Linked DNA regions of Styela clava. The protein of the gene in region 1 purifies or fractionates together with the protein of each later gene. This does not show direct contact. Links are inferred from orthologs where the notes say so. Each region holds a gene or a part of one and is shown in the gene's direction. Other genes may lie near its edges.

What was found.
Region 2: the proteins of uncharacterized protein LOC120346921 (region 1) and uncharacterized protein LOC120331661 purify together in Homo sapiens (affinity purification with mass spectrometry; 3 studies listed by BioGRID and IntAct, counting the BioPlex papers as one, with this or other methods). This does not show direct contact. The link is inferred for Styela clava from reciprocal best matches to the Homo sapiens genes ZC3H18 and RBBP6.
Region 3: the proteins of uncharacterized protein LOC120346921 (region 1) and serine/threonine-protein kinase PRP4 homolog purify together in Homo sapiens (co-immunoprecipitation; 4 studies listed by BioGRID and IntAct, counting the BioPlex papers as one, with this or other methods). This does not show direct contact. The link is inferred for Styela clava from reciprocal best matches to the Homo sapiens genes ZC3H18 and PRP4K.
Region 4: the proteins of uncharacterized protein LOC120346921 (region 1) and uncharacterized protein LOC120334230 purify together in Homo sapiens (affinity purification with mass spectrometry; 3 studies listed by BioGRID and IntAct, counting the BioPlex papers as one, with this or other methods). This does not show direct contact. The link is inferred for Styela clava from reciprocal best matches to the Homo sapiens genes ZC3H18 and FNBP4.

The regions. Positions count from the first base shown.
Region 1 is NC_135260.1:18,937,135-18,945,430, forward strand, and holds the start of uncharacterized protein LOC120346921, read left to right. Parts: upstream 1-4,978; 5' UTR 4,979-5,062; coding exon 5,063-7,846; 3' UTR 7,847-8,296.
Region 2 is NC_135255.1:12,391,489-12,399,746, forward strand, and holds the start of uncharacterized protein LOC120331661, read left to right. Parts: upstream 1-5,242; 5' UTR 5,243-5,247; coding exon 5,248-5,413; intron 5,414-6,237; coding exon 6,238-6,337; intron 6,338-6,795; coding exon 6,796-6,829; intron 6,830-8,258. Other genes in the region: coatomer subunit epsilon-like, read left to right, coding at 3,503-4,399. UniProt on the Homo sapiens protein: E3 ubiquitin-protein ligase which promotes ubiquitination of YBX1, leading to its degradation by the proteasome.
Region 3 is NC_135256.1:9,398,289-9,406,268, reverse strand, and holds the start of serine/threonine-protein kinase PRP4 homolog, read left to right. Parts: upstream 1-4,762; 5' UTR 4,763-4,818; coding exon 4,819-5,290; intron 5,291-5,982; coding exon 5,983-6,214; intron 6,215-6,416; coding exon 6,417-6,533; intron 6,534-6,817; coding exon 6,818-6,919; intron 6,920-7,707; coding exon 7,708-7,797; intron 7,798-7,980. UniProt on the Homo sapiens protein: Serine/threonine kinase involved in spliceosomal assembly as well as mitosis and signaling regulation. Connects chromatin mediated regulation of transcription and pre-mRNA splicing.
Region 4 is NC_135264.1:7,026,438-7,033,984, reverse strand, and holds the start of uncharacterized protein LOC120334230, read left to right. Parts: upstream 1-4,285; 5' UTR 4,286-4,397; coding exon 4,398-4,467; intron 4,468-5,539; coding exon 5,540-5,749; intron 5,750-6,448; coding exon 6,449-6,579; intron 6,580-7,095; coding exon 7,096-7,165; intron 7,166-7,240; coding exon 7,241-7,316; intron 7,317-7,547.

The DNA.
Region 1 (8,296 bases):
TTTGGGAAACCGACTTGAATATTGAATGTATTGTACCCAGAATACAATAGTCATTGAATACAATCCACAAATGGTGCGGACTCTGGGGTTTCCGAATATCTAAATCTACATTTATTCTTTTTACACGGAAACGAAAAATACCTCATCTAAGTCTAAATATTGGTACGGACTCACTAACAAGGTCAATGCATTACAAATATCTAGGTGTTATATTCCAATGGTTCCCAACCTTTCTACCCTGGCGGACCGGTAAAATTAAATAAAATGTACACGCGGACCGGCAAAAATTGAAATGTGTGGAACAGGAAATAATAACATTTATTTGCGTGATGTCGGGCAATTACTATGCTTTTAGAAAAAAAAAAAAAGATACAACTAAAAACATTTCACATGAGGAAAAATTATCAAATAATGTGCCGGCCAATAATTGAAATGGGTGTAACATAAAATAATAGCATATATTTGCGTAACAAAATGCAGTGCTGCATTATGCGTAAAAAAGGCACACATCTCACATAAAAAAAACATGTACATGCCAAATCATGTACTACAAACCCAATTGACTCCAGCGAGAACTGTTTCGTTTTCAATACAGGATTGCAAACGATGCATCAAAAAAAGGATTTGCAACGCGTAGCTCTGCATCCACTCGCAGTCAATTTATTCGCTTCGTTTTAATTAATGCTAAAAGTAACTGGTTGGAAATTCGAACAACTGTTTGGTTGCTCGGTTACTCAGCAATGGGTATTCGTTATCAAGAGAGCTCAAGAATGAATTGTGACAATGATTCTTTTATAAATCTGGACTGTGAAGTAGAGGTTTCATCGGCTTCATCATATCAATCCAATCCCTCTGCAGTTGATCGACGCCCAAAACAAAATGAATTTGTTTTACAATGATAAAGTCGTTCCTAACTTAGCACCAGGCTAAAAATCCTGCTGTGCATCACCCGGAATATATCCCAGCGGGCCCCGGTTTCGTTATGCTTCTCGTGACCACCTGCAGGGTCGCAACAAGTTTATATTTTACTGGGTGTCACGGTGAAGCTCTGGAATATTATGCTGTTCTTGACAGTTTTCTGGTTTAAACAAGGAAATATTCATAACCTTTTATTTGGAGCATGCAGAACGAAAAATCACGCATGCTGATTTCCAGTTTTCTGAATCTTGCGAGATTTGACGGAGCGCTGTCGATATGAATCGAAACCGAAAAACCCAAAAGTGTGATTACTCGGCGCTAAGACGTAGCCGGGCCATCCCACACGCATCAAACAGCTATATGACGACGGAAGAGAAATTGCGTAATAAACCAACGTAACTTCGTCTTTTCGACTTCGGTGAAGCGATTGAGACGGTAGAAAAACAACAAAATGAATTTTCCCGCGGACCGGCAAAAATGCTTCACGGACCGGCACCGGTCCGCGGACGAGCGGTTGGGAACCACTGTTATATTCGACCCGCTTCTTAATTATAAAAAGCATATTGAATATATTCAGACAAAGTGTATCAAAAGAATAAATTTACTACGTTTACTTTCAGGAAATACTTGGGGATCTGCCAAAGGTCCATTACTCATACTATATAGGACACTCATTCGTTCATTGATTGAATACGGATTTGAAGCATATTTTTTTGCCCCACGAACATGGCTCGATCCAATGATGAAAATTCAAAAATCATGTCTAAGGATATGTTGTGGCTCAATGTCAAGTTCCAGCATCAAATCTTTGCAAGCGGCATCTGAAGAAATGCCACTACACATCCGACATCTTCTGAAATGCCTAACTTATAGATGTCATCTATTATCATACAGCATAATTGATCATCCTGCTCATTCCATAATTAAAGACTCGTGGCAAGAGATATATCCAGACTCCGTCACATTTAAGTCATTCAATATGCTCACGAAATCCTCAATATTCCAACAATTTAAAATAAAACCAAGAATAACATCATCGTTACCATACTGGAACTATGATTGCCCATATGTTGATCTTACCCTAGCTGAAACTCTGAAAAAAGATGTTTCTCGCGATGTAGTACGTTTGACTTTGACGGAACATCTCGAACATTACTATCCAAACTATTCAATAATTTTCACAGACGGATCAAAAAAATGAAAATGGCTGTGGATCCGCTTTTTTCGTACCATCGAGATCGGTCGAACACAGCTACTCCTTACCTCAACTGAGCTCTTCATATAATGCAGAACTAAATGCAATCCTACAATCGCTGAAATGGGTCAACGATCAATGCAATGCATACGAAACCGTTATTTTATCAGATTGCCAAAGTGCATTACAATCTATTGAAGCCTGCACGGATTCCTCTAATGAATTCGTCGTTGACATCAAATCTTCATATTTTCAAACTATCGCTATGGGGAAACGAGTCACCTTTTTATGGATCCCCGGGCATAAGGACATTCTGGGAAACGAACGTGTTGATTTACTAGCAAAGCAAGCTACCATTTCTCCAAACTCTGCTGCTTGTATAGACATTGAAGAAAATGAAGCTAAATCTTTGTTGTCTGATGTTTGTCATCGCAAATGGGATACCGAATATATACAAAGTGAAGATACAAATCATTTTAAAATGTTTCACCCAGAACTACCCATAATTCAATATTCAAACTTACACCGGAAGTACGAAATAATGCTCTTTCGTTTACAGACGGGACATTGTCGATTAAATAGCCATTTACAAAAACTGGGATGTCATCAAGACGGACTATGCTCTTTTTGTCACGTAAAAGAAACCGTTGCTCATTTAATTCTGTTCTGCAGACGTTTCAACAATCAACGATCCAATTTACTAAAATTATGTGCCGAATATGATGTACCATTTCGGCTTCAATATTTACTAACAGATTGTAAAATTTTATTTCATGTGCTAAAATTTGTCGAATCTACTGGTAGACCCATTTAATAGCAACAAAGAAATTATTTTAAATAATTTCCCCTAGATAAATAAATAGCCTATCACGACCTGGTGCAAAAAGCTTTGATTGAGCTGTAAGCACTTTACGACCCCTATCACACACACACACACACACACACACTTTGACGTCGTACTAAGCTTGGCGCACTTGCTTTTTCGCATGTCCAGATATTGGAAACCTCATGAATGCATGAGGTGCATTATATCGTAATATATGGAGTTATAAAATATACGAGTTCAAAATTCAATACAGTATCTATTTTGTTCACCCCGTCACTATTCTTATCAAAAAAAAAAAAATATTTATTAAGGTCTTAGCGAGAATGGCGACGACAATTTGAGATACGGTACCGTACAAAATACAGAAAGGGTGGGAGTAACAAGGTACCGGTAAGGGTTATCGGTACGGTACCGGTACTGGGCCTGCGTCTACACGCTGCAGTACGGTACCTGAGCTTGTGACCTGAATACTAAAATATCGTAGATGTAGAGCTAGATATAGGGTACGATAAAACAGTACTGTACCGTACGGTACCGGTACTGCAGTGAAACTAGAAAAGCAAAACATTTTCGGACTTTTGAGTTGATGAATTTGCATTACTGCAACTAAGGTACCGGTACGGTACCGTACAGAATGACTGATATGACCAGTGAATAATGGCGGCACTTGTGCATCATAATTATGTGATCCTAAATCCTACCGGTATGCAGGTATGTGATGGAAAATTTGTATGTTTTGAACTTATTTTCCATGCCAAAAGGGGTTTTGCGCTAGACCCCAGAAACAAGTTTAGGCATACCAAACATACTTCTAGTGGGCGTAGCATAAAATTTTTTTGATATGTCAATCCTAACTCCCATCTGACTGCGCCATCCAAAAATTACGTCACTACCGGTACGACATCACAATCACGTCATAGAGCTTGCCTAATATCTGAATATACGTACAATCGCCCGAAATGGCATTGGTGCCGATAACTGTTCAATTTCGGGTGCTCGTTTGCCCGTCTTGGATGGCAGTTTGTATAGTTTGAAGGGCTCTATTACGCAAGTGCAGTTTTAGGTATTCTGTGGCGTCTGCAGCTGCCGCAAAACCATGACGGTATTTCCATACCATGGCCGCTACGGCCAAACCTATGGCGACTGACTTTTTAGCTGCCACAAACCAATGACGAGCTGCGTTACCGAGGCAGCAAATTGAAAACCAAACCAATTGCATGTAAAATTTTGCTGCCGTAACCATGGCAGGTGGGCCGTAAGAACAGGTGGTGACAAATATTGGGTAAGTTGGAACGTTTTTCTTATGGATACAGTTTTGATGGATTTGGGGTAGGGTTTAAGTAGATATAATTCCACATGATCAATTAAAATCTGGTACATCAATTTGTGAATATCCTGTTAATACGGATTACTGAATAGCGCTATGAAATCATGACGAGAGCTGCCGCGGTTATTTCGTGGCAGGAGCTGCCATGAAGTGGTAAGATTTTTCACAAATTTATTTCCTGTGACGTACAATTCAAAAGGATATCACTATATGGTGAGCACCATGAAAATGTAGGGAAATAATTGAAGTACTAGTCTTGCTGATTATGAAAAAAGTTGTTGTTTATAATGTTCACGATTTTGTTGCAAGAGTGTCTATTTAATGTGCATTCTGCCGCAGGGATATTAGCATATTGACATTCTAGAGAAGTAGTGACGAACGCTTTAAATTTACAATATTTTTTGCCATTGTCAAAAAAAACACCTCGCCACCGCGTAAAATAAAAAAAATTGTACATTTGTTCTGGGGCCATTGTGACGTGACAATCCTTAAACTTTTATCTTTTTACGTCAAACTCCACGCTGCGATTAACCGGTTAATTTTACCCGGTTAAAGTATTTTCACTAAAATTCCCAGCCCTATCTAAGAGCTTAAATTTTTATGGATGAACATGGCTGTGTATTCCCACTGATGAGCTTAGTTGTCTCTAATTTGACAAATGCTAATCATTTTTGCTGGGTTTTTAATTTATAAAATTAACTCATATTTTTTACATTGATATTGTTTAGTTATATATAGCAGGACTTGATATTCTTAAAAATCTGACATTGTCACATTGTGCAGTTATACCTGTGATATGGAAGAAGGTGAAATAATCACTGATAAATCTGCCAATCCCTCCATTATTTCTAATGATGATGATAGTGAGTTAACTGAAAGTAATGTTGAGGAAAAACTAGAAAGTGGGGATCAATCACTGGAACCTGTGGAAGCTGGATTACCTAATAAAAACAGTGAAACAAATGAGAAAGATAATGTTAACATTTCCAGTGAAACTAATGTTGATACAGTGAAAACAGAACCTGATTTTGTTGCTAAATTAAATGAAAATTTATCTGAAATTAAAGATGAACCAAGCAGGTCATTGGAACAAGATATTTCTGATGTAAAGGATGAAATTAAATCGGATAATGATAATCAAACTAGTAAGATGACATATGATACTGATCAAACATCTAAACCAATCGACAACACGATTAAAGTGGAAAGTGATGGACAGAATTTGGATGGTGCGGTCATGGTTAAGGACACTACTGAAACTGAAGAGGGTGAACTAGATGATTCAAATGATGAAAAAGATAATGTTCCTGATGATTTAACAACAAATAACAATATTGCAATCAATGAAACTGCTAGAACAAATATTGAATCGAAACCAGAAAATACATCGGCTGGTGATGGAATAAAACGTTCAGAATCAGTAAATGATGATCCAAGAGGGTATGGAATAGATGATAATAGACCGGATGATCTTGAACAATTGGACTATGATGAGGATGACACTGATATTAGAATAAAAAACACAGATTTGTCAACTGATGCGTTTCGTGTAATTGATCGTGCCGTAAAAGAAAGATCTGATGGTGAAGTTGATAGTGATAGCGATGGTGAACTTAAAAGTGATGGAGAAGATTTTGAAGAAGGAGAGACTAGAGATGGTCCACAAGATGTCCCTCAAGAACAGAAAAGACCTTGTAGATTTTTTTTAATGGGGAACTGTACTTGGGGTGACCGTTGTCGATATCTCCACCCTGGAGTAAATGACAGAGGTAATTATAATATGTTCAGTGATAATGAACGCAATAGGCAAACCCAAAGGGACATTCCAGAATTTCATCAACAACCCCAAGGATACAGATCACCATGGGAAAATGAACCTCCACCTTTTATGCCCCCTCCAGTTGCTGAAACTGCTTGGGAAAAAGGTTTGAGACATGCAAAGGAATTAAAAAAGAGAGCTTTGCAGCGCAAAGTACAGGAGCCTGACTTTGTTCAAAAACGTGAGGTGTTATCTCTAAATCTGGCTTTGAATGAGGATCGTGATATGGAATTTGTAGATCATAAACCTCTTGGACCAGCAAACAAAGGATTCGATCCATTTCAGGAAATTGAAGCGGATGAATATGCTGTACCAACACCTGAAGAAATGCGTCGTCAAGCGAGAATGCATCGTGAAAGACAGCGTGGGGGTCCACCACCCCCAATTCGTCACCCACCTGGGAAAGACCACAGACTTCCCCCTCCAGAGCATCTTTTACATCCAAAATCTCACGAAAGAAGGCCCCCTTCACCTCACAGGTTACCACCACCTGGCCATTATCCACCAGACATGAGGAGAATGTCACCACATCAACCCATCTATGGCAAAGATCGTCATCCAAAAGATTCAGGATTTATTCATCGCGTGGATGAGCAGAGAGATGGAAATCGAGATAGACGTCCTGATAAAGATATGCAAAGACCAGACCAGCATTTGCCGTTGCATGATGATCGCAGGGAAGCGCCTCGTGACCAGACCAAAGATGAAAAGTTCCAAATAGATGAATTCAAGTTAGCTGAAAACGGGGCCCCTAATGTAAGAAGTGATCAATGGGTGGATCCATGGGCTCGTGCCCGGCCTCAAGCTAGAGGAAGAAATAAGAATAAAGATTCTTCTTCATCATCATCAGGGTCAAGTTCAGGTTCTTCTTCCCGTTCATCCTCTCATTCATCATATTCATCGAGGTCATCTTCAGGAAGCAGCAGATCATCATCAAGATCATCGGGTTCCTCACATTCCAGCTCGTATAGCAGTCATTCAAGTAGATCTCCAGCACCTTCGAAAGGTGTAAAGTCGAAGAAAAAAATTCTAGCCTCCGCTAAACAACGCAATGCCGCTGTTGGTGCACAAAAGAAAGCCCCACAAATTGTAGGTAAAAATACCACTGGTACGAAACCAGTAACACAAATTAAGTCAAGCAAAGACAAACAAATTATTCCACAGGCCAAGGCTCCACCTGATGTTGCCAAAAACTTTTCTAATGCTGCCAACAATGCATCCCTTCCTGTACCTACTAATCTTACCATTAAGCCTATTGTTGCTAAAAAAGATAAAGCATTGCCCAAGAAACAGAGAAAATCCTCAAGTAGTAGTGAGTTTTCTCGGTCGGATAGTTCAGCGTCTCCATCACCATCTAGAGGTAAAAACAAAAGCGGTTCTGGCTCTGATTCTGGAAGTAGCGGCAGTTCATCTTCTAGTTATACTTCATCTTCTGGTTCATCTTCTTCAGATTCTGATGGAGATAAAACAAAATCAAAAAAATCTGCCAAGTCTACTGGATCAGCAGGTGGTAACAAACCTCCCACTGTTCCCAAGGTTGCTGCTCAAAAAGGTAAGGTAGCAGTTCCATCTAAACCTGGCCGAAAAGACGTTAAAATGACAATCATTGATAAACCAGGTATTGCTAAAGATCGGAAACGCCCTGCTTCTGAACTTTCAGGTCAAACCAAGAAGCCACCATCTAATAGGAGAGTTGAATTACTTGAACAATTAAGGGCAGTCGAGGATGCAATTGCAAGAAAACGTGCAAAACTGAATTGATCGCGATAATACACAAATGACCTTTGTTTAAATGGTTCTTGCTGAGATAGCACGATGTCAATCCAATTATTTGGTGACGAATCCACCATGATTGTCTGAGTTTGGAGATACCTGCTATCAGATGTATTATACTGTGTGGTGAACCTGTGTGAAACATTGAAAGAGAGATGAAATGTACTGAACATTGTCATTGTTGCAGTATATAAACAGATATATATCACTCACTGGTTTCATTTTTTCCAAGGTTCCAGATTCCAACATCATTGATCTTATTCTCTATGAATTGATCTGATATGCAGCAAAATCTCAGCAATGTTTGTATGCGACTCTCCCGCAATTATATCAGATGCTAGGGATATGAAACAGTTTAAAGAAACAATTGCATTACAACTTCCTTTTGAGTTGAGGGGAGGGATGATTTATTATATTTAAGTGTATGATAGAAAAAAT
Region 2 (8,258 bases), on another chromosome or scaffold:
ACATTTGAATTAAACTATGTAATCTGCAAACTTTTTTTTTATCGTTGTTCTGGTTTTCACTGTGGGAGATAGGTTGTACTGTATATATATATGAAAGATTATTTGTCCTGGAATTTCGAATGCAAGTACTTAAATCTGCAAAAAAACAAAAGGTCGTCATAAGGTAGGCCTATGTCATATCATCTCGCCGAAAGTTACTCCTAAAATATCTCAATTAGATATTTAAAATTAAGACAGATAAAAATATTCACATCGCAAGTAAATAGACATATATATATTACAATTTCGAATCGGTTAAAGTCAACAAACTTTGGAGTAAGGCAGCAGTAGGCCCCTACCCATATTTAAGAATGCAGCAGCAAAGAAAATTTAACTGCGAACTATAATGAAATGACCAAATGTGTTTGGGAACGACAAATTTAATTATTTCGACTTGAGATAAATTTATGAAATAGTAAAACGTGCGTCGTTTAAATAAAAATATTCCTGTTGCATGTCTGATGGGGAAAATTGAGCCTCGCGCCATCTCAATTTCAGCTTGGCTTTTCCGAGCTCCCAGTGATGCACGATTTATCACCCATTTCCTATCGAAGTCTTTCCTGGGCATCCTGGCTGCCGTCTGTCTTCTCGAAGGACAATGCTTGCTCCCCCTGGAGCGTCTGACACAGTTCGCCGCAGAGCATTACCTTTTTCCACTAGAGCTTTGTATTCTCCCCCCTATCTCATTTCTCAAATTACGTTACTGGCCCTTCTTATTAGCATCGATGAACTTTTTCTGCCACTTCTTTAGCCTGCTAATACTATCTTACGACAAATAGCTACAAGTGTTGTTAAATCTTTCCCTTCTTTCCTGATCGGGATATGCTCGCCATTTTTTGAGTTCACCACCTACCTTCAGACCTTGCTTGAGTTGGGCATCACATTTACACATCAGCACAAGATAACACACATTCGCCCCGTACTTTCACTCAAGAGTGCTGCATATATGCCCAAAGTTTTATTTATTGTAGTCTTCTTGTCGGCTTCTTCCAACCAAATGCTGATTCTTGGATTGCCCCGTGCGCGAAATTATCGGCACCTAAGCGGTCCAAGACACCACATGTCCGACTCCGACGTAAGATCATTGAGGTGTATATAACCTCAATGCGTGAGATCGATAGTAACTTTACATTGGATAGGATTTACATATTTATCCCGGGGAGAGGAAAGCCGATAAGACGGCTCAATCATATGGCGAACCACGGCCTCTCGTCTGGTTACCCAGTCCAGGTCGGGTATGGGATTAGTTAGCCAGTTATTTGTTTTCGGAAGGCGTAACCTATCAGCGGTTACGTGAACCACCCTACGGCGGCGAGGAGTCCAGCAATCCTCTTGCACATGATCATCCCCGCATGAGATTCGAACCTGCGATCCCACGAAGGCTAATCAGATGCGGTGGCGAGCGTATTCCTAACGCTTAGCACGATGTGCCACACTGCCGAGCCACCGTAGACCGCCGCCTCAGAACATCTGGTTCTACGCGGAAAATGTTACTGCTTTCTTGAACTCTTTGTCAAAAATTCAATCTATTTTGTTAAAAATTCTTTAATTAAATAATTGAAAAATATACATTTTATTATAAAATTTAACAATTAGAGGTATGGTGATCATCAGAATACCGAAAACAATTCATCTAACATTTCTCCGTGTAGTTTCGAATTTTCTATAAGTGGTGACGACATTCTAGTCTCAAAGCAGTGCAGCGAACTTCAATCGTCATGGAATGTTTCGTGTCGTTCTTTATTTCTGTATTTTTGTAATATTGGGGTCGTACCCGGTTTCTCATTTTCCGCAATGGAAATAGTTCTGTCAACAATAGTAGAATAACGCAGTGTTTATTTCATAAATATAGATCTATCAGTGACTGCCGGGGTGATTTATTGAATTTTTAACAGACAGACACCGGTCTAACGTTACGGCTGTACGGTGACTCAAGTTTTAACATTGCCTTTGTACAGTCTGATAGTACCGGTACAGTAGTCAGGTAGTAGTAATAAAAAAATGAAACAATCTCTTTAACTATAGTTATCAGTTCGAATATTCGTATCAGGTATAGCGTTTTGAAATACTGGAATACAGAAGTAGGGTGGTGTAGCCAGTCCGCGGACGATTTCATTCAAACCGCTATAAAACAAAAACCAATATTTCTAACCGTTAATTTTTCACCGTAGGTGCATTGGCATGTATTCTACGCGCTAAACCTCGAATTAACTTTCTACGACCAGGGGTTAGAAATATTGGTTTTTGTTTTATAGCGGTTTGAATGAAATCGTCCGCAGACTGGCTACACCACCCTATTTGCGACCGAACGACCAGTGTGCGATCACAAATTTCAAGCTTTGAACATCGTTTCTGCTGCGTCGAGACTAGAGCATGCGCAGCCATGCGTGAAAAAATTGGGCTTCTAATTGCATTTCTGACCGTCATATATTTTAAGAACACGGTCATTTCGAACAAAACTCGTCAAATTATATACAAAGCACCACATCACAGCAATCAAACAGACAAACACACGGTGGTCGAAAATTGGTCGACAAAGATATTATCGACGTATTCGAAATGTGCACCTCCCTATTCCCCCTCCCAATCAAACAGACAAAAACACGGTGGTCGCAAATTGGTCGACAAAGATATTATTGACCTATTTGAAATGTGCACCCCCCTATTCCCCCTCCTTTAAATGTAGAAACGCAAATATTTAAAAGATGGTTAAATAAAACACAACTCTACCCCCTTGCCAAGTTTCATTTTTTATCTCTTATATTTGTATGGATTTTCAAGTTTCATTAATGGGACAATGGGTAGTTGGCGACATGAAAAAATGGTCTGTTTTTATCGTCGGTCAGGTTTTCGGTCGTAGCTTTTCTGTTTGTGGCCGTATTTTAGTGTAATATCGCAGAGACAAGTGGACAATAATGCGTGACGAATATCGTCGCGGTTCTTTAATTTTTTCGGCATCAATTAGATCGATGAAGTTGATGGCCGCAAATAGGTCGTGGCCGCGAAGTGGGTAAGCCACCCTAAACTTCTGAACTTGGTTCTGTGATTTTACATAATTCCGAAACCTGTCAACATTTAGTCTACATCTTTTTATTATTAAACCTGTGTAAACCCCATTCACTAGACCGTCTGGGCTTCCAAACTGAACAAACTCGCACTGCACAAAAATGAAAAGAAAGTGCAATCTGAAAACGTCACAATTGGATTTCTTGAAATTTTTTTTCTGTAGCATTCGAGAGTTTATAGCAAAAAACACATGTGGTGGCCGCGATTAGTTTAGATTATTATCGAGACAAGCATGGCACAATTCCACGCATCTGCTGTCGTGCCAGATGCCCTCATTTAAGAGACAAATACAGTTTTTTATTTTATTATGAAATTTCCATATCTTATCACTTCTTTCTGTACAGACATTAAATGGTTTAATTATTATAGCTACTTATTCTTAATAGAAAAACTTGAAATGTCTCAACAATCTGAAGTCGATGAACTTTTTGATGTCAAAAATGCGTTCTATCTTGGTTTGTATCAACAATGTATCAATGAGGCACAAAAGGCTAAAGTGAGTAGCCAAGTAAAAAAGAATGAGCGAGATGTATTTATGTATCGTGCATACATTGCTCAGAAAAAGTTTGGAGTCGTTTTAGATGAAATTTCGAGTCTGGGATCATCGGAACTTCAAGCTGTTAAACTTCTCGCTCAGTATTTAGCTGACTCATCAAACAAGGACCAAGTTTTGAAAGAAGTTGAAAATAAACTTTCTGGGAATATTGACATTGAAAACACCGTTTTACCACTAATTGCTGCAAGTATATATTCACACGAAGAAAACTTTGACTCCGCCTTGCGAATCCTTCACAGTGCTGAATCATTGGAGTGCTCTGCTCTTTCGATTCAAATTTACATTGCGATAAACAGGCTCGATCTTGCAAAAAAAGAACTCAAACGAATGCAAGAAACTGATGAAGATTCAACCTTGACTCAACTTGCACAGGCGTGGTTTAATATCTCTGTAGGAGGGGAAAAACTACAAGATGCTTATTATATTTTTCAAGAAATGGCAGACAAGAATCAAAGTAGCACGTTACTGCTCAATGGTCAAGCTGTGTGCTTCATAGCTCAAGGAAAATGGGACGAAGCGGAAGGTGTTTTACAGCAAGCAATGGATAAAGACAGCAACTGTGCTGAAACTCTAATAAATATGATAGTGCTTTCGCAACAGATTGGAAAACCACCTGAAGTTACCAATCGTTATCTGTCGCAACTGAAAGATTCTCATGGGAAGCACAAATTTGTCAAAGATTTCAATACAAAAGAAAATGACTTTGATCGTTTGGCAATGCAATATGCTCCTGCTTGATAGTTCAATCTGATAAGACATTGCAATAATACAAAAATAGAAAATTAGAAAATATATTTAAATATTTCAAATATCTTGATGTCAGGCAAAGTTTACACCTCATGATTTTCATGTTCCGAGCAGATTTACTAAGGAAAAAGTTCTGAAATAATTCCTTTTGGTGTGGGTTATTGAATGTATATGCCCATTTTTTAGATAATTTTTGAAATTTGATATTAAAGAAGTGCATATATTTACCATTTACTAATCTTGGGAATTAATCACTATTATACTATTTAAATTGAGATGTGTTGGCTCTATGTAGCACTGATGATGAAAAATAACGCTTTTAATTTGCATTATTTTTTGATTTTCAATCATTTTTTTTGGATAAAAAAGTTAGGTGTGTCATCCTAGTATTTTGTGCCTCGATCAGAGTATGCTCACTAAGCAAGCCAATGATGAATAGACCTGGTTAGTCTAGAAGCCCACCATCTTGTAATATGTTGGCTTTAGATGTGCTAAAATATTCTAGCCATTCTTTAATTTGGAGTTGAGACCTTACTATTTGTGTGTGAATGCTTTGCCAAAGCCTCATTGAGAGCAATGCTATAAAATATCACATAAAAAGTTTAAATTTTTTTAAATTAAAATATGAAATGACTGGACTTGATTTGGTAGTAGCCTAAGTAATGTATTTGCATTATTTCATGATATGGATGATGGGTGCTTATCATATCTGTATATTTGTTGCCTGGTATATATAATAACATGTATAATATTGTCTTTAGAATACATGGAATAAATCGAATACCATTTATACCGATTGATTTTTGTATTGGGTAATAGAAACTGAATTTAGCATCGATATGTCAGCGATCCACTATAAGTTCTCAAGCAGCAATGATTACAAGAATGTTACGTTTGATGGAATCAACATTTCACTCCAAGATTGTAAGAAAGCAATAATGTTAAAAGAAAAATTGAAGATGACGGAAGTTGATTTGCTAATTACGAATGCTCAGTCTCTACAAGGTAAGCTTGACTCTTTATACTTAAATTTTATTCACATTGTGCGAATTCTAATGATAAATTACCTAATGATAGAACTAAAATGGAAAATTATGCTGATAAAAGCTATTTGCAAACATGTCATCGAAATTTGGTATTTGAGTGTTTACTTCTAACCTGCATTGGTGAGTTATAAATATATAAGAGCTTCGACCAATTGTGGTGAGCTGATGGTTTCCAACTTGCTCATGTGCGTCATTCCGAAGTATTTGAGTGTTTAATTCTGATCTGACTTAGTGAGTGTGGGTGCAATGGATTAAATGTGATGAGCCAGTGGTACTTGACGACTTTTTGTTTGAATTAAATTCGACATTCAATTAATAACCTTTAACAAATGATAATTTAATGCAGTGATGTAGTTGCATGATATGTTTGTGAGGTAGCAAAATTATAAAATATTAAAATTTTTATTCAAAATTTTTAAAACTGATATACTTCCGAAGTATGTGTTATAATTTTGAGTTGTTGATGTGATGATAAAATACAAATACAGTTATGAAATTTTGCAAAACATTTTTAATATTTCACTGATAACATCTTATTGAATATTCTAAATGTCTATATAAATGTGTCATATACAGTAATATTATCTAGTAGGCTACATTGGGTATGTAGAATATTTCATATATTCAATTTTATTTCATTTGAATAATCTCTTTTACCTCTACTTAAAATTTTACAGTAATTTAATGATGCCTTTGTTACTTCCTGGAAACTGTTGTCAGGTATCCATCAGCAAATCATCGATGTACAGTATATATATATATGTAAAATTCATGTATTTTTAGATTATAAAGATGAGTCAGCGTTGATACCAAAGAACACTGCATTGCTCGTTAGAAGAATTCCATTAGGTGCTGTACCTGACAAAACAAAGGTTTATGTTGTGTAAGTGTCAACTAACATTACTTACCGGTATATACATATTTTCTTATGAATGAATAAATATTGTTCCTATCTAGTGGTAATTTTTTTAAGTAGCAAGTTTAGTTTGTTTAGTATTGCTATTATGGAGTATAAAATTCATTAGCATGTGATATAGTTTCAACCTCACGTTTTTCAGTTATTGCAATAGATAGTAATTTAGTTTTTGGTCAATGGCATGCCAACACTATCACAAACAGGTGGTGGCATTAGTTTTCTTATAAGAGGTAATTTGTATGCAGCTTTTTGATTTCTTAAGTTTCAGGAATGCGTGCTGCATTTATTATATGATTTAGTCAAATTAAGAATAATCAATGCAATTTCTCATGCCTCAAGGATAATTATATGAATTAAAAAAACAAACAGTTATAAATCAATTATGTAATATGGTCCTTATTTAAATATTAATTTATTGTTTTCAGGAAGAAGAATGAGACTGCTGCATCTTCTAAATCCGTACGTAATTTATTGTTGTGTGAAAAACACTTATTACTTTTGATACCTTTCTATACAGCATTGGCAAAGCAACAGTTATTGAAATTTTAATTTACAAAAATTATAAAAAAGTTTTTCTTGTTTTTCTTATAAAGTTATGGTTAAGTTACAGTGAAATCTGTGCTTTGCTGATGCAGTATATTCTCGCTTTTCTTGAACACTTCTATTTCTACACAGTGTTGTATTTTTTGATATATTTTTTATTACTATTTATATATTTTTTTCTATTTCTTCTATTAAACTGTGATAATGGTTCTATGCAACAATGCAAAATTTTGGTATCATGCAATTTTAATGTTGTGTTTTTTCTTTTATTATTGTTATTTTATTACTAAATATGCATTGGTTAACTTAAATCTATACACGCTTCGCGAAAAAACAAGGACAGGCTAGTTTTGAGTTTGATACAGAATGGACTTGAACTGAACATATCAGAGTTAGGTTAGATAGATCGGTTGCGCAAGATATAAGAAGCTGTCGCAAAATATAAGAACGTCTTATTCATCATGTGCCTGACTTCTACATGCTCCTGAAAGACTGGTGATAAGCTATTGCTAATATGCAAATATGCCGAAAATAAATCAATGAAACTGATTTATATCATCTGATTTGCATTGACACTATGCTCAAAAGAGATACACTGAAACAATGTTGTGATTGTTCCGATTTTAATTCATTTTATTCACAATTTACGGTTACATTTAACTTTTTTCTGCAGCATTATGTTTGATTGTTGTACAGTTCCATGATTCTGAATTGTTTGATTAAAATTTCTATTATAGTTCTAGCGAGCTTACAATTTGTGTGGTAGCATCACTAGCATGCATAGACAATTATGAATGAATCAAACACAATACAATACCAGTAGCACCAATGTTGAAAACTAATTCACAGTACTTTTGAACTCACTTTTTCTGCCATGCTAATTTGAAAAAACATTAATTGAGATGTCCCATACATGAATGAATATACCTTTTCTAGAATCTTGTATTTTTAATTTGATTATGGCAGGAGTTTATTCCATGATTTGACAAATCTTTCCATGAGGATGAATGTTTCTAAATAGGACAATGATTGTCACACAAAATTTAGTCTTCAGAAAGTTTTAAAAAAATGTAGTTCCATAGATTCCCCTGGCAATCTATTTTAAATGTCTACTGTATGTGTCTATCAATATCTGTTCTGTTTGTTATTTATAGAACAGCACTAACATTTCCTGTTTTGTTCATATGTGCGTTGTATATATAAATGGAAAGAAACGTTTCAAAACCGTAATGCTTTATCCACATCTATCTTAGTGATTGACAAACTCAAAATTCTTTTTCATCTTGTCTGATTTCAAAGTTATTTGCAAACTTATTTTGTAGTAAAACTAGTTAGTATTTATGTT
Region 3 (7,980 bases), on another chromosome or scaffold:
TGTAAATGTGGGGCCCATAACTGCAAGACACTCATTTTTTGGGGCAAAAGAGGTCTTTTTGCCATTTTTCTCATAAATTGACTATCGGGCCATGTTTATGCGATAATAAAAATATCTTCCCCCCATACAAACTTTTTCAAACTCGCTGTATTAACACTTTATTATATGTACTACTACTGGTGTTTTGTAAATGTGGGGCCCATAACTGCAAGACACTCATTTTTTGGGGCAAAAGAGGTATTTTGGCCATTTTTCTCATAAATTGACTATCGGGCCATGTTTATGCGATAATAAAAATATCTTCCCCCCATACAAACTTTTTCAAACTCGCTGTATTAACACTTTATTATATGTACTACTACTGGTGTTTTGTAAATGTGGGGCCCATAACTGCAAGACACTCATTTTTTGGTGCAAAAGAGGTCTTTTTGCCATTTCTATCATAAATTGACTATCGGGCCATGTTTATGCGATAATAAAAATATCTTCCCCCCATACAAACTTTTTCAAACTCGCTGTATTAACACTTTATAATATGTACTACTACTGGTCTTGTGTAAATGAGGGGCCCGTAATTGCAAGACACTCATTTTTTGGGGAAAACTAGTTCCTTTTGCCATTTTTTTTCAAAAATTGACTATCGGGCCATGTTTAAGCGATAATAAAAATATCTTCCCCCCATACAAACTTTTTCAAACTCGCAGTATTAACACTTTATTATATGTACTACTACTGGTGTTTTGTAAATGTGGGGCCCATAACTGCAAGACACTCATTTTTTGGGGCAAAAGAGGTCTTTTTGCCATTTTTCTCATAAATTGACTATCGGGCCATGTTTATGCGATAATAAAAATATCTTCCCCCCATACAAACTTTTTCAAACTCGCTGTATTAACACTTTATTATATGTACTACTACTGGTGTTTTGTAAATGTGGGGCCCATAACTGCAAGACACTCATTTTTTGGGGCAAAAGAGGTATTTTGGCCATTTTTCTCATAAATTGACTATCGGGCCATGTTTATGCGATAATAAAAATATCTTCCCCCCATACAAACTTTTTCAAACTCGCTGTATTAACACTTTATTATATGTACTACTACTGGTGTTTTGTAAATGTGGGGCCCATAACTGCAAGACACTCATTTTTTGGTGCAAAAGAGGTCTTTTTGCCATTTCTATCATAAATTGACTATCGGGCCATGTTTATGCGATAATAAAAATATCTTCCCCCCATACAAACTTTTTCAAACTCGCTGTATTAACACTTTATAATATGTACTACTACTGGTCTTGTGTAAATGAGGGGCCCGTAATTGCAAGACACTCATTTTTTGGGGAAAACTAGTTCCTTTTGCCATTTTTTTTCAAAAATTGACTATCGGGCCATGTTTAAGCGATAATAAAAATATCTTCCCCCATACAAACTTTTTCAAACTCGCAGTATTAACACTTTATTATATGTACTACTACTGGTCTTTTGTAAATGTGGGGACCGTAATTACAAGACACTCTTTTTTTGGAGCAAAGAGGTCTTTTTGCCATTTCTATCATAAATTGACAAGCGGGTCATGTTTAAACGAGAATAGAAATATCTTCCCCCCATACAAACTTTTTGAAACTCGTTGTATAAACACTTTATTAAATGTACTACTGTTGTTTATGTATAAATGGAGAGTTATGATTGTAAGACACATCTTTTTGGAGGCAAAGTAGGTCTTTTTACCAATTTTATTAAAAATTGACGACTGGGACAGGTTTAAACGATAGTAAGTATCTCTTCCACCTATCCAATATTTGTCAAACTCGTTGTGTTTACTTCCCATTATAAACACTTATACTTGTCTTTCTTATACTAAGCGGATATATTTGTGAGACACTTATATTTTGGGGAGAACTGTGATTTTTTGGCAATTATTCACAGTTTTTATGATTAATCTGGCAACGCATAAAGCATCAGCTGATTTTGCATCGATGCCTTTTTCGTAAACTCTCGCATCGCTCGATTGAAATCTGAGTTCTGGCAACAGTGATCGGGGCGTTCAAAAACGAGAGAGATGTCTGCTGAGAGATGTCTGCTAGGGTAACTTTGGTTATACTTACCGGTATGCACCCCCTTTGGAAAATTTCAAAAATAGCCTAAATAAATCCCTTTCCTTAAAGAATGCCAAAATATAGGATTAGGACAGGTTAGGGTTGACAAGCAGTCGGTTGATTAACGTTTAGATTAATACGATACAGTAATACAGGTTTCTATCCATGAACTGCCGCTACCTTTACTACTATCTGACTATACCAGCTGCCTAATCCAGTAATCACTAATTTAAGTTAACTTAGTCTATAAAAAAATCTTTTTCGCTCTTTCTGCTCAAGAATTTGGATCAAGTTGATTTCTATAGTCCTGATGCTGATAATCTGTTTCTATCATGTTCCCCCTATTTCAGTATTTGTAAATTACAAAAAAACTTACATTAGATTAGATTAGTTCGTGAAACTCGGAGGGAGGGAGAGAGTTTATTTCTGTATTTGTTTTGTCCACCAGCAAACATATACACACAGACACAACAAAAACATAATTAATAGAAAGCCAAATACTGAAATAGTTCTCGGTACAGACTGGGTGGCAACGATACGACCATGCGGCCATCGTATAGACAGTTACCACTAAATACTGCAATATAAATTTCAATAAACATGAATAAAAAGTGCTTCAGATATCAGGATATAGTTTAACATATCTCAGGTGTCAGGGTGTGTCCAAAAACAACATTAAATTTCCATATAAAGAAAAATAAAATATATTAGTTACATTTAAGTTAAGCGTTAAAAGCTAAATAAAATGCCAGACAAGTTGCACATTTTATCAAGTGGGGCATTGGCCGAATTTGACATTAATATATATTTTTGAGTAAATGGCAGAATTTCAATTGTGTCTGTGTGTGGAATCGATTAATTCAGGGGTGCATGTTCACTAAACACTGTACTTCTAGTTGGCGTGGCAGGAACATAATATTTGCATATGTTATTCCTAACCCACACCTGGTTGCATCATCCAAAAATTATGTCACTACGCTGTCATAGAGCTTGCCAAGGAAAAGCTACAATCGCCTGAAATGGCATCTCTGCCAACGATAACGAACTCGCTAACGCCAGCGAGCTCTCTCATATATCGGGATCTTGATGGCGTTTAGTGAACTAGCCCCACTTCAAGTCTGCTAGTTGTGGAATACACAAAAACATCTTGTGTAAATGTTGAAAGACCTAAGGCAGCATATATACAGATATATAAAGCAGGCCTGCACAACTCAAATTATCACGAGGGCCGCAAGCATAAATCTGAAGGCCCGGCGGGCCGCAAACTTTGCCACATACATATTTCACAAGATGAACTGCAAATCAAAATGATATTGTGAAACAGTTAAATTTAATGAAACACTTTCATTACTGGGGAGCTTTAAAATATGAGGAATCTTATTTTCTTGAGTAAAAACAAGGTGCAGTATTTTTGCATATGAGATGGCAATTACGGTATGTATTTAGTGGTTCATCTACCTTGAAAACTCACCCTTCATTTTCAATATTTCTTTTTTATTAGAATTAGGTATTGCGTGTTGCAGTATAAACTGATTGCAGATAAAAATTATATTCAGGTTCAGTTTTTTAAAATCGTCCCAAATATCTGTATGACAATTTATTTAGTCATAAATACCATTATTAGATATTTCCATTGTAGGCTAGACAAACAATCCATTTAGTAGCAATAGATCTTCCTCTGTTGTACATTTTCGACTGTTAAATTACATTTTTCTACAAAATCTGATCCGATTTATTTGAAATTTTACAGTAAATAGCAATATTTTTTGTGCGAGAATTTCTGCACCATTCATAAATGAAGGAATTGTTTTTCAAGTTCTAAATTCGAATCAAAAGAGAAACTTCAGTTTCATAAACTGCTAGTAAAAAATAATGGGTTATTAATAGGTTGCTAATATGCACTAATGGGTGTGAGATTGTATACCGATATTGTTTTGAGCGTGATTCAGTCTGGATACTGAGATATCGAAATCAGGGTTTCCCAAATTGGGGGGCGAGGGGACGAGAGAGGAATTTTAGAGGTCACGCAGGGCACACCAGTTTCACACAAAGTCTGATATTTATTGAAACTATTGCAAAACATAAATCTCTCGATTTCGAATATGATCGGGGTAGCGGCGCGCTTGCATAACAATGCCGGCTTTGATTGTTAGACACGAGAAGTGGCGTGTTTCTAAATCACCTGTGGGCCGCACAGAAGTATCTAACGGGCCTCATGCGGCCCGCGGGCCGTATGTTGTGCAGGCCTTATATAAAGACATTAAAAAAATCGCTACAGATTAACAAGATAAATTTTGAGGCAAATTGCACAGACATAGTATAGTGGGTGATAATATAATCCAGCAATCTGTCGATTGGACAGAATGAGATGTGTGTCACTTGAGAGGATTTGTAGGAGCGGCGCTCCTACTTATTAAGCGATCCTCGTCAAAAGACCTTCATTCGACAGAGGGCGATATCAATTTATGTAATTTATTACAGCGATCGCAAGATGTTGTACGAGATTTGGGAAAAAACTGAAAATTCTGATTTATAAATTCCATAAAAAATATTTCACGCTGCGTCAGAAGTTATGTCGATCTCGCGTAGATCATTTTTTGCTAACTTCCGAGACTACGTCACTGTTGATTTTGTTTGTGCCAATAAAATCTCTCTCTTAATTTTCAGAATTGAGTTCATATTTAACTTCGAATGTCATACTGGTACTGGTGTCAATAAATAGACATGAAGACGCAGAAATCAAAAATGAAAGAAAGTAGTGATTCTGATTCTTTAGCAGAAGAAATAGCTCCAAAGGTGAAGAAAAGTCATAAACATAAGAAAAAACACAAAAAGAGAGCTTTAGACCATGAAGACCCTGTTGATGGTGTTATAGAAATCAGCGATGATGAAAAATCTTTAAAATCAAAAAAGCATAAACATAAGCATAAAAAAGCAAAGAAACATTCTTCCCGTAAGCGAGAATCATCATCGGAAGCAAGCGATGATGAACAATCGAGTAAAAAGAGAAGAAAAACAAAAAGTTCTGATGAAATTATTGAAGAAAATGGAAAGACTGAACAGAATGCATCTACAACGACTGGTTTTGATGGAGCATTATCAGATTTAGAGCAGCAAAAAGCTTTATTACAGGCTGCTCTCATGAATAATGTAGAAGAAGGAGAGGTTTCTGATGATGTTCAAGCAGATGGAGCAGGTAAATTACATTTTGCAGTAGAGTAATTTAATGTTTTGATCAACTTTTTATCAGTAGATCACACTTCTCCTTTACGAGACAGTCTGGTGGCTCCATATCATCGCAAATCAGTACTGCTCAATATACCGAAAGGACAAGCATTCTAAAATGCCATAAAATAATTTGATTTACAGAACGAAAACAAATTCTACCGTAGTATTCAATAGTTTCTAGCAAAAAACAGTTCACATGAGAGGATTTTGGTCACATGAAGTTTTGCACATGCTGCAATTGATTTATATTATTAACGCAAGAAACATGGCATGGTCTTGCAACTCTCCGCCATGCCAGACATCCTCGTTTCTGAGATAAATAATGTGTTTGTTATAAATATTACAATAAATATTGAAGTCTTGCCGTAGAGCACTCTGCTAAATTTTTTACACTGTTTTGGTTAGATGTTTTATTGTGATTGAACATTTGTCGTGCAGTGTTCAAACCTGTCTTTTCGATGACCATCTTACCATACATTCGACCATCAAACATCCGTTCAGTGATCCATGAATTTGTAGGCGTGTTGTAAATGAATAATCTGTGTTTTTAGTTAATATACACAGCGCAATTGACATTTTCTTGTAGTATTTCATGAATCACAAGCAAAATGATGAAAAACATAGGATTCTCTTTTAAAGCAAAATTGTTGTTTTTGGTAGAAATAGAAGCAAATGGTGAAGAGGAAGCAATACAAGATGATGATGATGAGAAAACTTCTACTAAACCAACAAAAAAGAAGAAAAAGAAAGATAAAAAAGATAAAAAGAAAAAGGAGAAAAAAGAGAAGAAATCAAAATCGCCACCTTCGATTAAAAGGGTTGAGAAACAAGTTGTCTCACCTACCAAACACAGTTCTAATGATGCAAGAGAAACAGAACATTCCAGAGCCAGGTATGAATTGATTTGTTTGGAAATTATTACTTGATTTAAGCTTATTAGTATAGTATGAGTTTCTGCGTATAGTATAGTATCTTGTGATTTTTATCTAGTACAGTTATGACAACTTTGCATCAGGGTATGTGTTACTTTATTACTTCGCATTTCTTCTGTATTCAAGATTCGCAATTCGCATGAGTGTACATATTTTTGTCAGGCATTATGAAGAGAGTCGTGACTCTAGAAATGATCGTTTGCTTGAAAGAAGAGATGATTCTTATGCAAGACGTTCTCATACTCATCACTCAGATAGAGATAGATTACATCGCTCGGGGTAAGTCAGAAATTATTCCAAAATTGGTAAACTTCCCCCTCAAACCCATCCTAGGCACAAGAAATTTATAAACAGGAAAATATCTACTGGTAACAGTTCCAAATAAGCCTCATTTTAATAAGCTATGATTCTATTTCTGACAGTTTCTCTGTAACCATTTCCATGAACATTTTTACTTCAAAGTTTCCCATTTATAAGATGTATGCATTCATATACATATAAATAGTGTGTTGAACTTGCCAAAACAAAAAAAAAATAAACATTTATCTCACTTTTTATTTTAGTGAAACTCGCAGAAGATCGCGTAGTAGATCGAGGGATAAAAGAGATTATCAACATTCGTCATCAAGTAGACCTAGCCATTCGTCATCAAGAAGAAGGTCAAGGTTAGAGCAATAAAATAGTTCCCTGTCATTCATTAATAACCTGTCAGGTTGTGCGCCATTTAGGTACACATACTTCGGGAGCTCCGAATTAAGGATATTAAAAACAATGTCATGGTACTTCAATATCTAAATAATTTAAATTTTTGTTTTTTCGACGCTTATTCATATTTTTTGCTCCGAACAAGCCTTGTACAATCATATACTGATGTTGTATAATATGTAATGAGCTACTATTTTTGGAATCTTAATTCGGCATCACCTATCCAATTTATTATACTCTGGGTGAAGGGGTGGTAATGGAATTTGAACCACTATGAGTGTATTAGAATCAACATAGTTAGGTCTAGCACTTTAACAACCACTCGGTCATCAATCCCTAGCCTATCTATTTAAATTCACGACAGATTGACGTCACATTTTATTATGTTGTGACCAATTCTTTCAATAGGAATTGTCACATTATTTTATATAAACAGTAATTATGTACTTGCTAATATTATTTTGGACGAATATTACCGGTAACTGATTATTCTTTTTTTTCTTCACACTTTATTTTCATTTTTTAGTTGACATGAAAAATTGTCCAAAATAAGTGCAAATGACTGTCTAGTTTTATGGGACATGTGTGTATCCTTCATATTGGTGGCTAACATCGAACAGATCCACTAACTTTGATTCAATAAATGGCCATGTCTTCAATTTAATCAATCAAAATTCCCAAGTACTGCTCATCTAAGGAAAGGATATAAAGAATACATTGCGAAAATTAAACAAATTTAATTTTTCAGGTCACGTCATCGCTCCCGTAGTAGAGACAGGCCCATGCGAAGATCTCGATCTAGAGATAGAGATGGAAGGAGACGAAGAGATGATGACAGGTATATTAATTAAATAAATACACGAAATAAAATAAACTTAGTTTTGTTTGGGGAAGCCAAAAAAAGTTTTTTTTTAAAATTTTGACATAATTTTCGATTTCAATCCAATGATCTTTTTCAGTAGATCATCTGAGTGTGATTATCTGACATCATCTTTCATCTGAGTTCATTATTAGGTTCATC
Region 4 (7,547 bases), on another chromosome or scaffold:
TTTAGGAATAAATTTATTTAGCCTTGTCGTGATTCCTACGGCCCTTGACAACTCCAATTTAGTTGATGTGATGATCCCACCTTTATATTATATTATCGATAAATAGACCACCCCAATATATTTAAAAAAAAATCATGAATCTTTAATTTGGTGCCATTGAATGTAAAATTGAGGATGGGTGAAGAATTGTTTATCTTATCAGTGAGATAATTATTTAACATTACTTGAGTTTATTAGATTTCACCCAAACTGCGAGACTCTCCTAATTTGTACAACTAGGCTGGATATTTGAGTTACATTCGAAGTTATGGAGGTTGTGCTAGTATTATCAGCGAAGAGTTTTATAAAAGCTGAGGTGGAACTTACTACATTGTTGATATAGACTAGAAGCAGTGTTGGGCCAAGCACTGAACAGGGCGGGACGCCTACAGATGAAGGTTGACGACAATTTATTCATTACGCATATGCCACAAACTCCCCAACGTTTTAGTTTGCTCATATACATATATATATATAATATGATCAACCGTATCGAACGCTCTTTTAGATCTAGATTCAGATTCAGATATTTATTTTCATCGTGCAAGAAACAATGCAAAATAATAAACACACATAAAAATAACAAAAAAACGAAAGACATTAAATCTAGCAATTGATGAGGGGTCGCGAAAGACTCGGTGAGTCATCCAGTCAGCGACACATTTTTGATATACAGCCTACCAATCCCTTATCTGCAATTTCATAATATTTACTAATAATATGATTGCATGTTTGTAGAATGATGACAATTTATAATAAAGTCTTTATCAAGAAACGCAGCCTTGTGCACCGGAACAACCTTTGCCACTTTAGGATGATCTGGGAACCCTTCAAAGCACATAGGATAAATAAATAGTTCGCAGGGAACATGACTTATTGTACTACTGAAAAGTTTGAGAAGATAAGTATATGGTCATACCTCGGAGCTTCAATCGTTTTTGAGAATTTACGATATTCTTTATTTCGGTCACTGAGCACTCTTCGATAAACATAGATGATATATTTGGAGTACCCATGTTTCCAAGATGTTCGTTATCATTAACATTTGGAATGCCGTGGACAAATTTTGCCCAATCTGTGAGAAGTAACTATTGAATAGTGGTGACATTTCCCTACTATCACGCACAATCATCCCTGAATTAGGATTGTTTTTAGTCTTTAGGGGATCTGTTTGTCAGATTCCGAATTTATTAGCGAATTAACAGTATTCCAGGTCTTTTAGGAGTTATTTATACTTTTTTATAACATTCAGCAAAAACGTTTCCTTGGATCTTTCAAATGACATAATTTGTTAGCGTATCACTTACAAAAATGATTTTGTTGTTCAGTACCATTACTAAAGTGAATTTTGTTCAATTTATCTCTTAGACTGGTTGATCGTAGAATACCAGGAGGGATTCAAGGTTTTTTCTAAGTTGGCGCTTTTTTTCGAGCCATCTAGAACTTCAGAGCCAAAATAATCAGAATATGAATTTAAATTTCCAGCACAAATACTACTGGGTATCTCATATGAATAGAAAAATTATTGGGCTTTCCTAACAAATTCGTCCACAACAAAGTATCTCATATCCTTTTTATTTTTATTTTATCGATATAATGAGGTAATGCAAGATTGAGTTGGAATTGACAAAATACAGGGTGATGGTCGATCATACAATTCTGCCACACAATTGGCAAAATTATCGTTTCGGATATAATAGAACATAGGGGAAAGTGGGGAAGGTTGGGACACTTTTTTTCTTTTGCATATTTTGAGCCGTTAGTTCTGCATATTCTCTTAAGTTTGCGGGACTAATGCATAGAGGGGTAAATGTAGTTTTTATTCAGCAACAAAGAAATTCCCTTGCGACATACATCTTACCACCAAAATGCTTTGAAAAACGTCTGTCAAGTGTCCCACTGTACCCCACTTGTGGGGCACAATCGGACAGACCCTGGGGCACAATGGGTCAGTCTGTCACAATTCAACGAAGTATGTTCTTAAAAATAAGCAATTAATCAGCATAATCGTCTAAAGTACGGGGAGACTTCGGATTTGAAGATTTAATATTTTTAAAATCAATGTTCAACTGAAATAGTTCAGATTTTTTGACAAAACATTTTGCAAAAAAATTTGATTATTTCCTTCCTCGAATCTAAATCTGGAAATATTATTGATTCTCGAATATATTCCATATTGGGCCATGGGTCGAAAGAAACCATTATATTACACAAAATATAACGCATCTCTAAGTCTCTAAGCACTTATTGTATCAAACACTGTCGAATTGTGCCCTGTAGAGCATGTCCCACTGAACCCCGGTCCATTGTTCCCCATAGGAAACAAATATTTTCAGACCATCCCACGGCAAAATTCGGAAGGCACAGCCACTCGCTAACGTTAGGAATATTTTACAGTGGACTGCCGCTAAAGAATATCAGACGATGGTTTGTCTCGTTGGAAAGGCTAAACTAAAAAAAAGAAAAAACTGGAACGGTGAAATTTTTTTTTCAACCTCCCAAAACCAATTTCACCCCATAGCTTGCGCCGCTCTACCCGTCCGTTGTCCGTTCGCGGGGACGTTGTAACTCACCGAAGGGCGGATTGGAACATTGAGCCGCGGACAGGATTGCGGATATAGTATCAGTGTGATAGCTGATTTTCCACTGTGCCCCATGTCCCAACGTACCCCTAACGTAACGTACCATTAACGCATGTCAATAAAACGGAGGGGGAGCTCAATAAATTAATGTTAGCGTCACCTAATATTCTATATTTTTGTTGTTAAATGCCAAATTGTACAAAGTATTGCTGAGGCATTATAAAATTTCAATTGATCAAAACCAGGATGGAGATATACTACACCCATAATAATTAAAGTTGACTTTTCAATACGAACAGGTACTTCCACCCATAACTCTTCACATTTGGTGATGAGAGAAAGATGGGTAGCATATGCTACTATTTATTGATCAAAGACATTTCAACACCACCGGCAATGTTTTTTGTTTGCCTCTTCGTTTTGGCTTTTGTGTCTATATATTTGAGCATAACTCTCTTGTTTTACTGGTAAAATCAGAAAATACACTGAGGATATCATGGAAAAATTGAAAAATTTTTAAAAACTGATTTTAAACGGGTTATGTTTAACAAATATTGATGGCGTTCTGAATTGGGGGTTCTCTCGTGCACGAACCCTACAAGTACAAAAGTTAGGATGTCGTCTCTTGAGATATGTACGTACGGTATCCCAGCGGGGAATGATGATGTATATGTGACAAGAGTGTGTATGATGACATACGTACCTTGAGAGACGAGCCACATAGGATATGATTTGTTCTTCTGCCAATTCGTTGTAACATTAGTTTCCACAGTGAATTACAAATTTTCTGAAGTATTGACTAGTAACAACATATGTCGCTACTATACTAAACCGAATTTTGTTGGGATTTTTACTGGCCTTCGCAAAATTTAAGTAAAAGTATGCTAAATGAAAAACAGAAATTTAGGTGATGAACACACGAGCAAAATTGACTTTCTTTTTCCATTGTATATGACAAATAACACGCGTCTGATATTTGCTGCGACTGAAGCCCTTTTAGTATCGGAACAATTTCAAAGAAAACAATCTGGATTCATATTATTTAGATACAGAAATAATATGGTACAAGGGTAATTTAGCAATCAAAATTCTGACTCTCGGTCAATAATATTTCATACTATAGAAACTTTACTGTAAGCCTACCAGTGGAAAAAATTATCTGTTTCATTGCTCCACTCGATCATACTCATGATAGACGTTTGGGCATAATAGGATTTTTATATTTATATTTATTAAATCTTATCTGGCGCATCAGCCCTGCAGTTCAGTATGCTAGAATTGTCGACAGACTTGATACGTTTGAAACTTAAAGTATCGACACTTCTGTAGGCCCCGAGTAGAAGTAAATTTCTATTATTGAACTATAATGTTAGAGACTTAAAATATCCACCCTCTAACTGCAATCACCATGCTAATGCTTCCTAGTGCGGGCACAGATATGACGCCATATCCTAAAATAATTCCATGAGTTTGGTCAAGATTGACAAAATGACTATGCAAGTGCTTAGAGCATCTTTCTAGTTGTTTCTGCTCATAAAATCAATCAAAAATTACACATAAATATCAGACAGAGGCCGCTCCTCTGCGTTCCAAGATATAGGAAAACGATGACGTAGTGCAGTCGCATTCAGGCGTAGCGGAACAGCATTGAGCTAACTATATTTCAAGTACAACCATGATCTGACATTAGCCCGCTTCTGTGATATTACTGTCAGTGCTGTAGTAGGAACCGACGTTTTATGTCGGGGATTTAATACGGTACATTGGATCAATAACATGAGCAGGAGAAAACCTGCGTTACGAATTGGAGGAGGTGTTCTGAACAGGAGCACACTTTATCAAAAAAGTGAGTAATTTTCGAATTAATTAATGTATGGTAATGTTCGGTGTTACCGTGCAAATTTTGAAATTACTTTAACATAGCTTCATGAATTCTGGAATAGGATAGAATTCACATATTTCTGTATTCGGATAATCTTATTTGTAGTTTTGTGTTAGATTTTATTCATGCAGTTGTGTATCCTGAGATTGAATATAAGGGTACCGGTACCGGTACGGTAGCATTGCGGTACGGTAGCCTACCGTACGATAGGCGCGGTGGTGTGGCTCAACGGGCTAAGCGTTAGGAATACGCTCGTCACCGCACCTCTAATTACTCTGCATGGGTTCGCAGGTTCGAATCCCATGCAGGGATGGTTATGTGCGAGAGGATTGCTGGACTCCTCGCCGTCGTTGGGTGGTTCACGTAACCGCTGGTCGGTTACGGCTTCCTCCACTACCAACAGACCAAGTCCATGCTTCCAAAAAAAAAAAAAAAACTAATCCCATACCCGACTTGGAATGGTAACCGGACGAGAGGCCGTGGTTCGCCATATGGATATGCCGTCTTATGGTCTTTCCTCTCCCCCGGGATAAATATGTAAAATCCTATCCTAAATCCATTAATTCTGTATCCTGGTATCGTAATTCAGTAATTGCAGAATTGGCACTCAGATATTTCAGTATTTCTGAGCAGCATAAGTTTATACCAGTACTTATGGGTATTTACAGATACCGTATATAACTTATATAAACAATGCAAAAAATTAAACACTGATCGCTTCGAGTCCATTTTGATATTCCGTGTATACAGTCCAGCAGTCTGACAGTTCATTGATTGACAACTAACGCTGTCTCTTGCAGAACATGCATGTCACTATTTTTCTGCAGCATAAAATCAAGGGTTATTTTGATCTTGGGTGAGTATTTCTGTGATTGCGCATTCCTCTTTCTGTTTTTGCTTGAGGCCACCCGCAAGCAATGCTTGTGTGCTATTTTCTTTTCTGTCCCTGGTCTTAAAATAGAAAACAAAGCACAAACATTTAAATTATATTATGATACAGATAGAACATGATAGATGATTTTAATTTCTTCTTTAGATGTACCTGAAAATGAAGGACTCGGTTTGCGTGGTTCTCATGGTGACAATGATGAAAAGAAGATTGACTCACCATCTCTCGTACAAAATAATTTAACACAGGCAATCCATAATCTTGATTCTAAAGTTGCGGATTTTTTGAAGGAAATTGATGAGCTTGAAGCAGGTGACACAAAGGAACAAGATACACAAGCAGTGCAGTCGCAGCAAAGTAAATATAATTTTAGTGTTTTCAAAAATTGTTGCCTCTTCAAATTGAATTGATTATCTAATTAATTTGTTCATTAGGTAGTATAGGATTTATAGAATAAGATAGGATTTACATATTTATCACAGAGAGGGAAAAGAGGATAAGACAGCTTAATCATATGTCGAATCACAGTCTGTTGTCCACCATTAGTTCTCAGATGCTTGGACTTGATGGTTGAGGAAGTCGTAACCGATCAGTAGTTATAGTTATGTGACTTCTCGCAAGTGGTGGGGAGTCCCGCAATCCTCTTGCACATTGTTATTCCCCACAGGATTCGAACCTGCGAACCCAAGCATGGTAATCAGAGGTGCAATGGCAAGCGTATTCCTAGTGCTTGGCACAATGCGCCACATTGTGCGCCACATGAGTGGGTGAAACGATCGAATACAAATGAGATTTATATTAAATATTACAATAGTTAGTTTTCATCCAAATTTGTAATTTTTTTTAGTTGTGTCTTAATTTTGATAAATTCATGTCACAGTTCATAAAGATGAGGGCTTGAATACAATATTTATCTGTAACAACAATTGCCTTTAATTGGGCATATCAACATCAATAACATTGACGTACAACTGAGTCATACCTTTATCATAGGGGTCACTTTTACTATTCATTGCCTATTCTTGGCGGTACCTTAGTTGTTAATTTTGTATTTAGTTTCCTATGGAAGCTGGCAACAATGCATTGATGAGAACACTCAACACCCATACTACTGGAATACTGAGACTAATGAAGTTACATGGGTATTACCAGAAGAAATCTCAAAACAATTAGAAGCTGTTTCTCAGGTTGTTACTGAAGCTTCTTCGATAATTCTAGTTTGTTAGGCTTGAGGGAAATTGATTCTACAATTCAACATTTAAATTTTGTTCTAATAAGATTGACTAACATTAACTTCAAAATTTGGACGAATTACCAATTGCTCTAAAATTAATAGATGATGATGCATACACTACACACCAATATTTCAAACCAAGAACTCCTAATATTTAAAGTTCTTCTATTTCCCTTTACTATTACTTAGGCCCAGAATTCTTAGGATTCGGCCTTACCTACACGATTCAATAAATCCTGGGCATATGGTTGGGGCCTGACACTCTCGGTCACTCGGATGTTATGCTAGGCTTCAATATGTTTCTTTTATTATCAAATTACTGTTGCTCTTTAGAAAATGAAATGTTGAACTACAATTTTTATCAAAGTCATGTTATTGGTTTAGGTATTTTAATAAAACGCTACCACATTTATTCTCATCTTTTATGTTTATGAGTGTATTTAATAAATATGAATTAAAAAATTTACAGGTACCTCAAGCACACGTTGAGACTGATACGACAGCAGTGAAAGACATCAATATAAATGAAGAATCTGAAGGTGGTTTCTATTTTTTTAAATTGTTTTAGAGTTTAAAAGTTGAATTTGAAATAACATCGATGTCTTATATTTTAGACCATAACAAGAATGATCAAGAAACAACCGATGTGAAAAATCAAGCTAAAATTGAATCATCAATTGCTGTACAAAAGTATGAGTTGACTTTTTTAGGAATTTTTTTTAAGAGTCTTATTAATTTGTATATTATGCTTGTTTTGAATATAATGATCTTAAAAATGTATTACATGAAGATTTGATTAATAGAATTAAATTTTTTGAATTGCTAAATATTGACATTTCAAAATATTTTTTTCTAGTCATAACAAATATAAAGAATACCATAATCTTTTTACTATAAAATGTATTAATATGTCTGAATGTT